3 linked regions of the Saccharomyces cerevisiae S288C genome follow. The protein of the gene in region 1 interacts with the protein of each later gene in a biochemical or structural test. Each region holds a gene or a part of one and is shown on either strand. Other genes may lie near its edges.

What was found. Proteins that work in one complex are often made in the same cells at the same time.
Region 2: the proteins of NET1 (region 1) and CDC14 form a complex in vitro, tested with the Saccharomyces cerevisiae proteins (6 studies listed by BioGRID, with this or other methods).
Region 3: of the proteins of NET1 (region 1) and DBF2, one has a biochemical effect on the other in vitro, tested with the Saccharomyces cerevisiae proteins (2 studies listed by BioGRID).

Annotation. Positions count from the first base shown.
Region 1 is NC_001142.9:293,279-299,656, forward strand, and holds NET1 (Net1p), read left to right. Parts: upstream 1-1,966; coding exon 1,967-5,536; downstream 5,537-6,378. Other genes in the region: PRY3 (Pry3p), read right to left, coding at 1-703; YJL077W-B (uncharacterized protein), read left to right, coding at 769-867; ICS3 (Ics3p), read right to left, coding at 1,388-1,783; YJL077W-A (uncharacterized protein), read left to right, coding at 1,521-1,607; APQ13 (Apq13p), read right to left, coding at 5,182-5,598; cohesin subunit SMC3, read right to left, coding at 5,879-6,378. UniProt on the Saccharomyces cerevisiae protein: Has a role in chromosome maintenance and is involved in mitotic exit. Inhibits the action of CDC14 by sequestering it in the nucleolus. Also binds to RNA polymerase I and stimulates rRNA synthesis.
Region 2 is NC_001138.5:207,913-211,816, forward strand, and holds CDC14 (phosphoprotein phosphatase CDC14), read right to left. Parts: upstream 2,157-3,904; coding exon 501-2,156; downstream 1-500. Other genes in the region: ECO1 (Eco1p), read left to right, coding at 1-385; PTR3 (Ptr3p), read left to right, coding at 3,025-3,904. UniProt on the Saccharomyces cerevisiae protein: Protein phosphatase which antagonizes mitotic cyclin-dependent kinase CDC28, the inactivation of which is essential for exit from mitosis. To access its substrates, is released from nucleolar sequestration during mitosis.
Region 3 is NC_001139.9:666,320-670,407, reverse strand, and holds DBF2 (serine/threonine-protein kinase DBF2), read right to left. Parts: upstream 2,220-4,088; coding exon 501-2,219; downstream 1-500. Other genes in the region: DRN1 (Drn1p), read right to left, coding at 1-20; U4/U6-U5 snRNP complex subunit PRP31, read right to left, coding at 2,583-4,067. UniProt on the Saccharomyces cerevisiae protein: Ser/Thr-protein kinase involved in the mitotic exit network (MEN) and required after the metaphase to anaphase cell cycle transition. Phosphorylates CHS2 to regulate its dynamics and chitin synthesis at the division site during cytokinesis.

The DNA.
Region 1 (6,378 bases):
TGCTACTAGTAATTACGGTAGAAGAGGACGCAGTGAGGGTAGCGGTCTTGGCAGGGTTTATGGTCGTCGATTTTAAAGAACTGCTGCTAGCCGCAGACGATACCGTTGTTGTATACCCTTGCGCTACAGCGGGCATAATACTGGATGAGATGGTGGAGACTGTGTCTGATGTAGTTGAGGTAGAAGAGGACGAGGATGAGGACGAGGAAACAGTGCTTATAAGTGGTTCCACTTCCTCTGCAAACTCACCCAGGTAGTTTCCAGGAGGGTTGTAGGAGCACACAATATAATTGTTCCATGTCGTACCACAATATTTATAACCACATCCAATCTCGGCGGTTGACTTCCAAACCACCTGTGTGAAGTGACCCGTGGATTCAGAAAATCCGGGATTTGAATAATTATACTTGCTTATCTCCCCGTACCAGGCGTCCACCGCTCCCGTGTCTGTGTAACCAAGGGCAAGGTTCTCACCATATGGGCCATCGGAATGCGTTAAGACACCCGAACAATCATATTGGTCGGCGTAGTTCTGCGCATAGGTGGCCAGAGTGTCGGACCAGGTGAGCGGCGCTGTGTCAACATGTAGCGCTCTGAACTTGTTATGCTCGTTCAGCACATCGCTCTCGAAGTTTGGAAACGTGGTTTGTGCCTTGACGGCTACTAGGCATCCTAGCAGAACTGATATTGGAAACTCCAGCATAAGCGTTTTCGTTTTAAGTTGTTTTAAGTTGTTTGGAGTTGCAGGGGTGCAGCAATTATAATTTTATGCCGATATTGGTTTGGCAACTACCGAAAAGCAAGAAGCTAAAAACTTTGAAGTATAGAATATGTTTTAGAGAATTCTTCGACCGAGTTGAAACATGAGAACTGTTTCATCGGCCCTATATAGCAATTACATCCTTCCGTTGCTGGGTCCCTGCCTAGATACCATATTTGTTGTTGAATTAACCGCGGGAACCCGCAATATACGAAAGACGAACACAAGAGAGCAAGCACACACAGCTAGTGCGTAGCGTTGCTAGCTATATTGCCATGGTACCTACCTTTCACCTCCTTGTTAAATCCATAAGTGGACGGTTTTCCTAAACCAGTATTTATCAGTTCTCGAGCACGCAGAGAAAAGTAAACGAAGCGACCTGCATTGCGGTAACTATAAACACCCAGCCGCCTCCAGCAGAACCAGCCATGTGCGAAGAAAAACAATTTTTCGGCCAAACTTACCAACAATAGCGACGCGTTCCTCACATCGTTGGGTTTTTTTCGCCTCTCTTCAAGTTTCCTATACCCGAGCTTAACACAACACAACGGACCCTCTTAATTAGAGGTATCCTCCGTTCTTTTCTTCCGCTTTCCTAATCGAGATACCAGAGCACGGAACAGGACCCTAGTGCATCGGAGAGGAGATCCGTGGCACGCTCACTGCGCCTTTCACTATCACCGATTTCGTAATTCGAACAGGAGTATTTCGCTGCAGGGGAATTACTGTTTGTAGACGAGGGAAAGCAATTATCAGATACATGCCAGGGATAGCGTTCAAGGGGAAAGACATGGTTAAGGCAATACAGTTTTTAGAAATAGTCGTTCCTTGCCACTGTACGACCTGAACTTTACTCAACGAAAAAAAAATTGGAAAAAAAATAGTGCATAACGTTGCTATTAACAGATGTAGTACTGATATGTCCCTGATTGGTGAAGAGTCAGAATGATATAAGCCTATTTGATATGTACGTGTACGTATTCGAAAATAAGATTTGTTTCTCGTAGGGAGCGATATGTGCATTATGTTACCCGTTCCACATGTTTTGAACTTTTTTTCTTTTTCATGGTAAGCGTCAATAATCAATTTGAATAACTAGTGAAGAGTAGCTAGCACGATGAAATAAGTGCCGGAGCTGATCGAATCCCTAGTCTCGGTTCGCCTGAAACAGAGAGAAGTCGATTACTGTACACCGTGCCTCCTTCTATGTACAAGCTACAAGTGGTCTTGGTGCCTCCGAGTCTTCAGGCGACGATGCCAATACAGTTTGGCTACGGACCAACCATCGCCGAATCTTCTCAATTGTTGCCAAACAGAACTAATATGGCGCAAAGCGCCGGAGATGCCTCTTTGCAGTATGCTAATCTGAGATCTGCCAATGTGAGTTTCACGCCAAGCTATTTCAACCAGTCTAGGTTTAGGAAGTTTCTTTTGTTTACCAAGCCGACAAACACGCTGTTGAACTTGAGTGATGAAATCATCGATAAGTGTGAAAAAATGTACCCGAGTTTGCAAGAAGACATTGAAATTTTGAGTTTGCAAGATAACAGCGGTTGTGACCTTGATCCGGATTTTTTGGTAAAGGACGTTTTCAATGTAAATAATATCGTAAGAGTTATATTGAAGAATGAGATAGATCTGGACGATTCCGCACCAGTGTCACTTTATAAGTCGGTAAAACGATCCAAGTTGAACAACGGGTCGCCCCAGTCGGTGCAGCCGCAACAACAAATCCCGTCCTCTTCAGGTGTTCTTCGGATTGCCAAGAAGAGGCCACCTACAGGAACCACGACAACAACAACCATTCGTAGTGCCACTAATGGATCCATGAGGGTTTCTACCCCATTGGCTAGGCAAATTTATCCTCCACCTTCTTCGAAGATCGTCTCCAACAACTCAGATGACGAAGACGAAGACATTGGTGAAAGATCCTTTTTGCCGCCTCCAACGCAGCCTCAGTCACCTCCCATAAGAATTAGTTCGGGCATTGACGCAGGTAAAAAAATAAAATCAAGCATCGTCGAGGAAGATATCGTGTCCAGATCAGCAACCGTGGATCCAGATAAAACAAAGCAGCAACGTCTATTGTCCGGAACTCCTATAATGTCCACCATGACTCCAAACAGAGTTACTCTTACCGGTCAGAGAGTGGTTTCTGAACACGCACATAAAAACGAATTGGTTTTCTCTGCTTCAGCTTCTTCCTCTTCATTTGCTAATGGTGGCACAGCTGCTGTCACTGCTCAGGACATTAATAGGAAACCACCCGTAACCACTCCAAGAATAACATCAGGAATGTTGAAAATCCCCGAGCCAAGAATCTCAGAGATTGAAAAAGAGTTAAAAGAGGGACCTTCCAGTCCGGCCTCCATTTTACCCGCTAAAGCTGCAAAGATTCCAATGAAAAAACCTTACTTGGAAAATGGCGAGAACTACGAATCCGACGATAGCTCAAGTAGCGAAAACCAAGAAACTCCTGAAACAGAACCACATTCAAAGGCTTCCTTGCAACGTAGTCAAAGCTCCATCGCAGATAATAATGGCTCTCCGGTGAAAAATAGTCCTCTCGGTGATGCCATGCCACACAATGTGCATTTAGCAGAACTTCCCAAGGCAAGCAATACCTCGATCACCAAATCTTCAAATGGCGAATCCTGGGGAAAGCAACAAGAACATCAACCACCAAGAAAGAGTTCACTGGAAACTATAGTGGAAAAGAAATCTCAGGCGGAACCTTCCGGTATTGTGGAACCGAAAAGAATGACTAATTTCCTAGATGATAATCAGGTAAGAGAAAAAGAAGATACGAATGATAAACTTTTAGAAAAGGAAATTTTGCCGACAATTCCACATAATGATCAGCCAATACTTGCATCATCTGATAAGTCTAATGGGACGTTGAAATCACTAGCTGGGAAAGTTAGTTCAAACAACAACGCTTCAAAGGAAGATGGCACTATCATTAACGGCACCATTGAGGACGATGGCAATGATAATGATGAAGTTGATACTACGGTTCGTATTGTTCCTCAAGATTCAGATTCCTCTAGTTTCCCAAAGTCAGATCTTTTCAAAATGATCGAAGGTGATGATACAGATCTACCGCAATGGTTTAAGGGCAAAAATTCGAGAACTTCCGGTAATTCCAAAAATTCAAAGCCTTACACAACGGTTTTGAATAAAGACATAGACAATTCTAAGCCAGATCCAAGAAATATTTTGCCCCAGCGAACCCCAAGAAGTGCGGCTAAGAGGGCTGCCCAATTATTGGCAGGTGCCAAGAAAAACGAAGTCCCACAGAAAAGTACTGAAGATTCTAGTTCGGCAGCGTCCACAGACGATGAGTCAGAGAGTGGGATTGAAACAGATTTCTCATCAGACGATGATTTTAAAAGGAAAAATATGTCGGTGCCTAATAATGGGCCCAAAGACATTTCTTTACATTCTTTGAAAGGCAGTGTTGTTCCAGTGAAAGACTCAAAGATAATCAATAAAGAAGTTGATGAAGAAAGAAACGACAAAAGAGATAGTCAAAAAAAGTCAGCCGTGAGTGAATCTTCAGTAACAAATAGCAAAATAAGTGAACAAATGGCGAAAAGCTTTTATCCGAATTCAAACAAGAAGCAAAATGAAGCTACAAAGGTGGAAACTAAGCCAGCAACACAAGCATCGTCTTTTCCTGTTGTTGGTGGGTCTCCTTCTGTTGCTACTAAAGGAACTACCTCTTTCAATGAAGAAGGAAATCGTAAAAATGTTAAAACGAAGGCCAAGAATGAGTCTGCGCAGATTGATAGGCAGCAGAAGGAAACAACTTCTAGGGTTGCAGATTTGAAAAGCGCAAACATAGGAGGTGAAGACTTGAACAAGAAAGCAGAGGGGTCCAAGGAACCAGAAAAAGCATCTGCCAATATACAGGATGCTAACGATAAAAATAACTCGAAGGAAAAAGAAGACTCCAAAAGCAAACAGGTATCTCAGAAAAAGTTAAAAATGACAGATCACTTAAAAGAAGGCAATGTTCAGCTTCCTAAGCCCAGTGCAAATGATAAATTGAAGGATTTGAAGGCTAAATTTACTAATAGTAAAACACTCGTGCCACCTGGAATAATTTCTAATGAAAAAAATAATTCTAGTGCAAACGATGATGATTCTAGCTCCTCAGGTTCTTCCACAGAAGACGAGTCTAGTTCATCTTCCTCGTCTTCTGATGAGGAAACTTCAACATCCAGGAAGGCTAGAAGAGTTGTTGTAAATACACCAAGAGAACCAGTTAGATCTTCATCTAAGATTGAAGCCCCCTCTCCATCTGTTAACAAAAAAATCAATGCCACCCCTGATAAAATTCCAGTTACACAGCTAATGGACATGTCGTCTCCTCCGTCAGTTAAATCCAAGACCACCTCAAATCCGTCTAGTATACTTCATGACCTTCCAAGAAAAGTTCGTCCTTCTTTGAGTTCATTATCTGATCTTGTTTCAAGAGGCATCCCAGATGTAAAGGAAAAAACTTCTAAATCGAATGAGAAGTCACAAACAAAAGCCCCTTCAAGTAGTGATGATGAATCTAGCTCTGATTCTGACTCTAACTCCAGTTCGGACTCCGTATCGGATTCCAGTTCAGATTCTAAATCTGAGTCAGATTCTGATGACTCAGGGGATTCATCTGATGATGGAAAAAGTTTTATTAGTGCGAAATCCGCTAGTGCTGCTTTAGGTAAGAAGAAGAAGCCAAGTGGTGGATTTGCATCATTAATAAAAGATTTCAAGAAAAAATGATACCAGAAAGTCTCAGTAGAATACACGTCACAGAAAGCTAGTAAAAAAAAATAATCAAGCATATAAAAGTATTAATATATTAAAAAATCTTCATGTAAACCAATTCTTATTTACCTCTTTTCCCAGCAAGCGGGCAACTTCTTTAAGAAAAGTAATCTTTTTTGTACGTCGAATTATCAAAGCTTGGTTACTATATTTAACATTATTGTTTAGTAACAGTATCATCTTAAAAGAAAATTTTTTAAAATTCCAATATAGGAGACAATGGTAATAATTACATACAAATAGCTATTTATGTAAGCAAAACTGATATTTTTATATACAAATCGTTTCAAATATCTCTTAGACTTCAGCGAATTTATTGCTACCTCTAATGAATCCGATTGCTTCTTCTCTATTGACCTCAATAACCGTGGAAATCTTATTCTCGTACTTAACACGGAAAAATTTGTCTGCAACTTGCAACATATCTGTTCTGAACGTCGTACAAATAAACTGGGCATTTTTTGACAGTTCTTTTAGAAGTGTAGCGACTGCAGTTCTATACTGCTTGTCGAGTGCAGCATCAATTTCATCAAACAGATAGAAGGAAGCAGGGTCAACCATTTGGATTGCCAGAATCAAAGCAATGGCACATACAGTCTTCTGACCACCTGAGAGCTGTTCAACATGCAGTTGTTCGTTTTGTTTAGAATTGAAGGAAACAGAAATTGAAACACCTGTATACATAATTTCACTATCTTTACCGTTTTGGCTTTCATTGGATTCTGCATCCATGTCAACATCAATACTTTCATCATGGTCGTTAGCGTTATCATTCTTACGGTGAATAATCAACTTAG
Region 2 (3,904 bases), on another chromosome or scaffold:
CACAGAAGAAAAAGGCAAAGCGTTTGTATACATAAGAAATGACAGGGCGGTCGGAATAATAATTATAGAGAACCTTTATGGGGGCAATGGTAAAACATCTAGTCGTGGACGTTGGATGGTTTATGATTCTAGAAGATTGGTACAGAATGTGTACCCCGATTTTAAGATTGGCATATCGAGAATTTGGGTGTGCAGGACAGCAAGGAAGTTGGGTATCGCAACCAAATTGATTGACGTTGCAAGAGAAAATATTGTTTACGGTGAAGTTATTCCTAGGTACCAGGTAGCATGGTCGCAACCCACAGACAGCGGTGGAAAACTGGCTAGCAAATACAACGGCATTATGCATAAATCAGGCAAGTTACTATTGCCGGTATACATATGACTCTTTCGAAAAGACAGCGAGAAGGGACACTGGAAAAATGGCATAAAACTTTTCAAGGTTATTATTAGTAAGTTTTTTTATTATATGATATATATATATATAAAAATGAAATAAATTATTTCTTGATGGAGCCACTTATTTTTCTTATACCACCGGCGGCGCTTGTAGTCCTTCTCCCTGACGTTACTCTCCTATTCTTGGGCAATAGTTGTCTTAGTATGGTATCATCTGCGGCATTATTGATGTTCGTTGCGCTGGGTTCGTTATCTTCCATTCGGGACGATGAAGCAGAGGAGATATCATTTTTCTTGCGCGAAACTTTGGGATAATGATTACTTGTGCCGTTGGTATCCTGCATGGATTCGTCATCTGAGTTGTTGCTTTCTATTACTACCTTCCTATTCGCATGGGAAGTTGGATTACGATTATTGTTGATATCTTCTATAGTATTAGAACCGTTTTGGCCCTTTCTCGGCTGACCAGGCGAAGTCTGTGGGACGGCTGAGCTCTTGAATGAATTACTTCCATTATTCGCCGTAGAAGGTTGGCTCGAATTTCTGGCACTAAGCGCCCCATGACCGTTGGATGGCGGCGTCATGGTTAAATCTCTTAATTCACCTTCAATGTTATTTTGCGCAACCCTCTTGTCGTCTTTAAGTTTCTTTTTTTGTAAGCGGTATTCTTCTAAACTTATTAAGGGATATAAGCCGCCAATGGCCTCACTAGGCTTCAAAGAAATTCTGGTTGTGTACTTCCATTCTCTAAAATCATTCTGGTGTAAATATAACCAATGCTGTTGAGGGCCAACGACCATTCCCGGCCTTATAAACCTTAAGAAGCCAATACACTCGTTAGCGGTAAATCCATACGTGTATATTAAGTGAGCACCAATTAAACAACCAGTTCTACCTAGCCCAGCCTTACAGTGCACAGCAATTTTACCTCCCCTTTTAATTATCGTTTCAGCAGCACCAACAAAGTTTTTTACAATGGAAAGATCAGGACATGTACCATCTTCGAAAATTAGATCCAAATGTTGAATGCCAATGTCTTCAAAATGCTTTTTATTATATAAATGAGAATTCAACCTTACCACTAATTGGACGTTATTGTTGGCGAAAAAATTCAGAACTGACTTAAACGGCTGGTTCAAATGTGAAGATTTGGTAGCGAGATAGCCCTTTGGATGGTCCTCTTGTGGTGACGCAAATGCAATAAAATCTGGGGTGAGTACATTGAAGTCTCCAAACTCCACGTGTTCGTATTTCTCGTAACTCTCCAAATTGAAGGAATGCAAATCAATAAGGCCTTTTTCCTTAGCCCTCCAAACGCCATAAACCACATCTTGAATTGTGATTTCGAAATCCGCATTAGAATAACCGGCATCTCTAAATGGCATGAAGGGAGGGTCTACTTGCGCCAACGGCTGAAGCACTTGATGCGGAGTCCATGCCTGAACGAGGATCATATAACAGCAAAGCATACATGCGGCGTTAGCACGTTGTCTGGTCGATGCAGATGAATAGAAAACAACGGCTTTATTGGCATTTTCTGGGTCATTCAAGATTTCATGGAAAATAACGGCAAAACGATATAGATGTCCAATGTTCATGGGACCGAAATCCAAATGGAAACTGTTGTAAAAGATTGCGTCCTCCACGGTAAAAAACACCAGCTCATCAGTATCTTCCGGCGTGTAATCATATGCACCGAGATATACTCTGCCTCGCAGGAACTCGATCGTGTTGTCGAGGTATACACTCCTACGCATTTTTTTTTTTTTTTTATAAGCGTACTTTGTAGTCCCAGCCTCTGTGCAATTGTTTCGTATTATACCTCGAACGAATCGGAAATATTTGGTACATTATTGTTTCAATTTCAATTTGTTTACCTTTGAACCAAGTGAAGAAAAACTTATGGTGCTAAAAGTACATTCCCCGTTGAAAGTGATACAGCTTTCTTGATTGACACAATAGCAATGGCCTTCAAATGCATATCTCTACTATCGGCTAAAAAACGAATGACTCACGTTATCAGGCTCATAGCTTGTGTGTGTGTGTGTGTGTGTGTGTGTGTGTGTGTGTGTGTGTGTGTGTGTGTGTGTGTGTGATTGTTGTTCTAGTCGCTTGCTTTATAAAGTAACGACACTTTCTGGTGCCAATATGTGAAAACGCATTACAGAAAAAAACAGTTGTATTCTACTAAAAACACATCAGTAGTCACAGAAGTCACAGAAGTCACGTATATAAGCTAGTGGCAATCATAACTAACACAGGTGTATTAATGAAAAAATAAAGCCAAAAAAATTTCAGAAAAAAATATCTCCCGGGGGCGAGTCGAACGCCCGATCTCAAGATTTCGTAGTGGTAAATTACAGTCTTGCGCCTTAAACCAACTTGGCTACCGAGAGTCGTTTTTGTTGATTACTTTGCTATATAAAGATTCCTTTATCATTATTTCATGAGGCGCACTTTTGATTTTCACACCTTTTTCAAGCGGAGGAGTTATTCGTCTTATTAACATTACCATTACAGTAGTCATCAATGATTACCTTATCAGCACTGAAAAGATACCCGTAAAATTTAGCACACGCACACTCACACATACATAGGTACGAAATACACAACTGATAGGCGTTCATGCACTCTCATAGACAAAAGTGGGGCCGCCAGACGGATATAGCGAGGGTGCTCGACGATATAGAACACGACCTCTATCTACCGCAACGGCTATCACTCGATGGTGCAACTGGTACTGACGAATCACATGTGCAATACGGTATAGTCAAAGACTGCTCTGTGCTTACGTGTGGCTGCTGTATATCTGAATCGCTATTCAATGATTTATGCAGGGAAACTTCGAACAAGCAAACTGCGTGTCCCATCTGTCAGCGAGAAAATGTTCGACTACTTTCAGCCATCAAGCCGCTGCGAGATTTGGCTCGTCAGATTGACTTCTTCAGAAGTACTACCGGACAGGGCGAAAGCGAAAGCGATGAGCTCCCCGCTATAGTAAAGACTTCACCATCATCATCATCACTATCGCTAACGCCATCGCGCTCTTCCTCCACTGCTGGGCTAGAAGCTGATAACAAGACACTATCAGACCCTACAGTTAAGGAGAAATCATCACTGCTCGAACTCTTCCATATTGTGGCTTCGAAGATGCATAATGCGAATACAGAGGTAGGGTCGGACCACCCACTCACGACTGGCACCACCCGTGATCAAGAAGAACACACCACTAAGGAGAATTACTCAAGCAGCTTACTCGAGCCCAACTATGACGACCACGCGAACTGGAAAATCCTGGATAATGCCTCGAACACAAGAACTGTGCCGATAGATAACAACTTCTCTTTGATGTCTACGGACGTTACAATACCTTCCACAGCAAACTACCAAACAAATAGTGCACATGATCTGGACGAAGAAAAGGAGTACTTTTTTGCCAACTGTTTCCCCATGTACAGAAAAAAATTTCAGTTCAACACACACCCCAAATTCCTAGGGACGAAAT
Region 3 (4,088 bases), on another chromosome or scaffold:
AAAATCTTTGCATTTGTCATCCTATTTTTATATGTAAGTTTTTGAAGTGAAAAAGATATCAGTAAACCATAAGCCCTTTTTTATATATTATGGATCCTTCTAAGAGAGCTACCTTGCGTTTTTTGTACATCTAGCAATGTAGTATCAGTCCAATTTGTAATTATCATTGAAAAAACAATTGATGTTAACACCCATTCCTTTTCATTTTTTGCAGATTTTCGATTAATAGTGGTCATTGCTGTTTTCCTGTAAAACATTACCAAGTTTCGCCGCTCCCAACATGAATGCTTAAGTTTAGTTCAAAACGGTCATGGGATGGACCGTTACCGTGAACTGAGATTTTAAACAATGGGCTTGAAGTCCTAAGTAATGCACAACTATATATATATATATGTATATTTATGAAAAAAGCGTTCATAGGTGCTAGTTGAAAAGTTTGCATGAAGCTCGTTAAAGCTAATTATATCGCGGCGAATGCAAGACAAGAATTCATTTTTACGCTAGTAAAAGGTTGAAAAGGGGTCTGAGTGTTCCAGTCCGTTGAATAAGATGCCACTGGAACCCTGTTTACCATTTCTATGTCGGAAAGTGAACCCAACAAGTTTTGATGATACTGCCGAGTCATCTACCATAGCCGTTAATTTGTCTTGTCTTTTGAAAACATCAGCATATTTGGCCATGTCAGCCTCACTGGTGAAGTCATCAAAATAACCGGCATCAGTTTCGCTGTCTAGTTGGGGTGTAAAAGGCGGGATCATTGACCTCAAAGTACTAAAGTTTATATCTGCAAAATAAGACATGCGTTTAACATGTTCGAAGGATCTTAATCGATTGATTGGATCGGCAATCAATCTTGTTATTAAATCCCAAGTTCTATCGGAGAATGCTGCCCTCCCATCAGATTGTCTCGGTCTTCTTAAAGTTTGTTTCCAGCGCCTTAAGTTGTCATAGGTCTCATTAGTCGATGATCCACTAAATGGTGTATAACCAACTAAACTTTCGAACAGCATACAACCCAACGACCAGTAATCCACAGTAAAGTCATATTTCTTTCCTTCTAAAACCTCCAAAGCCATATAATCCGGAGACCCAACCATGGAGTTCGCATAATTAATTTCCTTCTCCCTCAACTGGTTGTACATTTTTCTTCTATCTTCTATAGATTTCTCTGTAAACGCTGGAAATTCCAGGTCCTTGATTTTTTCTAACCTTATCTTCATACTTTCAATTCTTTCATTAGAAATCGTACCAGCAGCCAAACCAAAATCTGTTAATTTTATATGTCCCTTGGCATCGATTAAGAAGTTTTCCGGCTTTAAATCTCTATGTGTATAGCCTAAATCATGTAACGCATTAACAGCGCAAAACATTTCACTGATGTAAAATCTCGCATGGCCACTTTTCAAGCATCTAGTATTTATTAATAATGTACGAAAATCACCGCCTGGTACAAATTCCATAGCCAGGTATAAACTTTGTAGGTCTTGGAATGCATACAGAAGTTTTACTAACCATTCAGACCTTGTCGTGGTTAGGATATCTCTTTCAGTTAAAACGTGTTTTGTCTCGTTGAGCTTAAACAATAGTTTTTTGTTCAAAATTTTCAAAGCACACACCTCTTTTGTGTCTTTCTTTCTGGCTAAATAAACTTGCCCATAACCACCTTGACCTACTTGTGTGATCATTTCAAAATCCCTATTTTTTGGTTTCAACCTTCTTTTTCTCAAAACCTGATGTTCCCTTTGTAAGTAAGAGGACCACTCTTCGTTGAGTTTAATCTGGTCAGAATTCGGAAGTTGGCTTTGCTGTTGCAGGTATTCTAGAACTTGCTTCGTGCGTTGTCTTCTACTAATTACATAGTCAAACATATCACAGTAATGTTCTAGAAAGTACATTTTGCAAACACTAACAACTCTCTGTGTTTTATTTGAAGTTGCTCTTTCGTAAAACTTTGGTGGAAGCTTCTTGGGAGAGTTCGAGACATCCATATCAGGTTGAGATACTTCGTCTATGTCCATGTTGGAAGTATCTTCGTAAGGAAAAAAGGATGGTTTTACCGGCGAAGGTGAATCATTGATACCCGCAGGCCTTGTCCTCCTCTTTGTTATATTTTGGTTAGGAAATAGTCCAGTGCCCCCAGGAGTCCCATGCCCATCGAAACTCAAATTGCTCATATTGCCTGCCAAGAGGTCGACATTTTTTTCTGATTTTGATAGCATATTAAAGAATTTTTCTTTAGCAAGGAATACTGTAGATGTTGCTTGAATTTTTCTGGTATATTAGTTTCTATCTTTAGCAAGGTTTCTATCTTACAATAATTTACTTGGACGAATTGCCTCCTTGTATTTATTTTTAAATAAACAACAAGCGGAGGGCTTCAACATCAAGGTAGCTTCGAATGATTTAGATTGAGGAATGAAACATGTCATTGTTTACTTTTTGAATAATTACATTTCCTAAAAAGGGCATCTGGGTTGCAGCGTGTGGTGTTTGGCTTTTTACGAAATTTATGAGCGAAAACGCTCTCGCCGGTCACTACTATATAATATCTTTTTAAATATTATCAAGTATGTAGAAGAGCCCTAACCATGACCGGAAAACCAATTGGTCTCTTCTTCTGGGTTAGTATGCTGTTTCTTGTGCATTTGAACCATCTCTGGCGACAGATTCGGTTGCTCTGTATTATGACCCAAGGAGATTAGGAATTCGTCAGCTTGCTGATTAGCCTCAGAAATCCTGTGCTTCATTACCTTTGTTAGCTTGGCTTGATTACCAGCAGATCTTCTGGAACCTGATGTAGCTCCTACTGCTTGTTGTAAAGAAGTATTAGACATACCCAAACCAACTTCTTCACCATAGGAATCAAGAACAGTTTGTTCTTGCTTGCCAAATTCCATCCTATTTTGTAATTGTCTGACATGCGATAGTCTGAATTTTTCCTTGTACTTCCTAAATTTTCTCCCAGCTCTTTTCTTTTTGGGTTGGTCCTCCGGAATAGGTAGAGCCTTCGTTTCAGAAATGCTCGGGGCTTCTGATAGCTTTCTAGCTTTCTTCGATAGTTCGGCTTTCCATTTATGAGCTAAAACTGTATTTCTATCACCGTTTTTCTGGCCAGCATCAACTCTTGCGGCTAGTGATACTTTTGCACAAAGCATCCTAAGCATTTGTTTATGGACAGAAACGGGAAATTTCTGAATCATGTCAGAAGCAAATAGATATCCTTCTTGTCGTACTCCACTCTCTAATGTATGTAACTCATGTGAGAGGTGCTTATTCTTCCCAATGGACGCAATGTTGCAACTGGGAATGCGACTGAACTCCAAAACCCCTCCAGCATGTGCTATTAATTGGGCTGCTATCTCCGGGCCTACCAAGAAACACACGTTAGGGGCAATTATTGATATCTTTGAGGCTATGTATTGACCTATATCTTCTTGTAGTTTCCATAAATTTTCCAATATGCTATTTGCTTCTAAAATTTGCGTCCTCGTTTTGATGTCCAATGGCTCTTTGTTTTTGAAAGACGTCTTCATGGACATTGTTAAAACGAGGATCTGCTCTCTGGTCAATTTTGCTTTATTTTCCAAGTGGAAAAATAGTTCATCACTTTCGTTTTTTGAATAATTTTCATTTTCCAGTATGCTTATCACTTTTGAGTATTGTAATGGTGATGGTATCAATGAAGATAGTTCTGGAAAACGTCTACTGTACAGTGAGATTAGAAAATTGTGCATTAATTTTATATTGCTCTTGATGAGGGGGATGATTTCGTTAAAAAACGGTAACAGTTTAATGAAATCTATTTCTTGTTGTTGAAGGATTCTTTTTAAATCGACAATTTTTGGTAAAATCTGTGCTGTCTCTGATAGAGATAACCTATCAGGACTGATGAGTGCCAACGTCCTGAATAATTCTATACTTTCCGGAAGAATTTCGAATGGATTGAATTTTTCTGTTTGACAATTTACCGTAGTGAGCTTTTTAGTTTGTATGTCTTCTTTTTCCTCATTAACTTCATCGGCAAGGTCATATTCGAGCTCATCGAAATAGTCCTCTTCAGAGCTCATAAGGTCTTTGTATATTTTCTG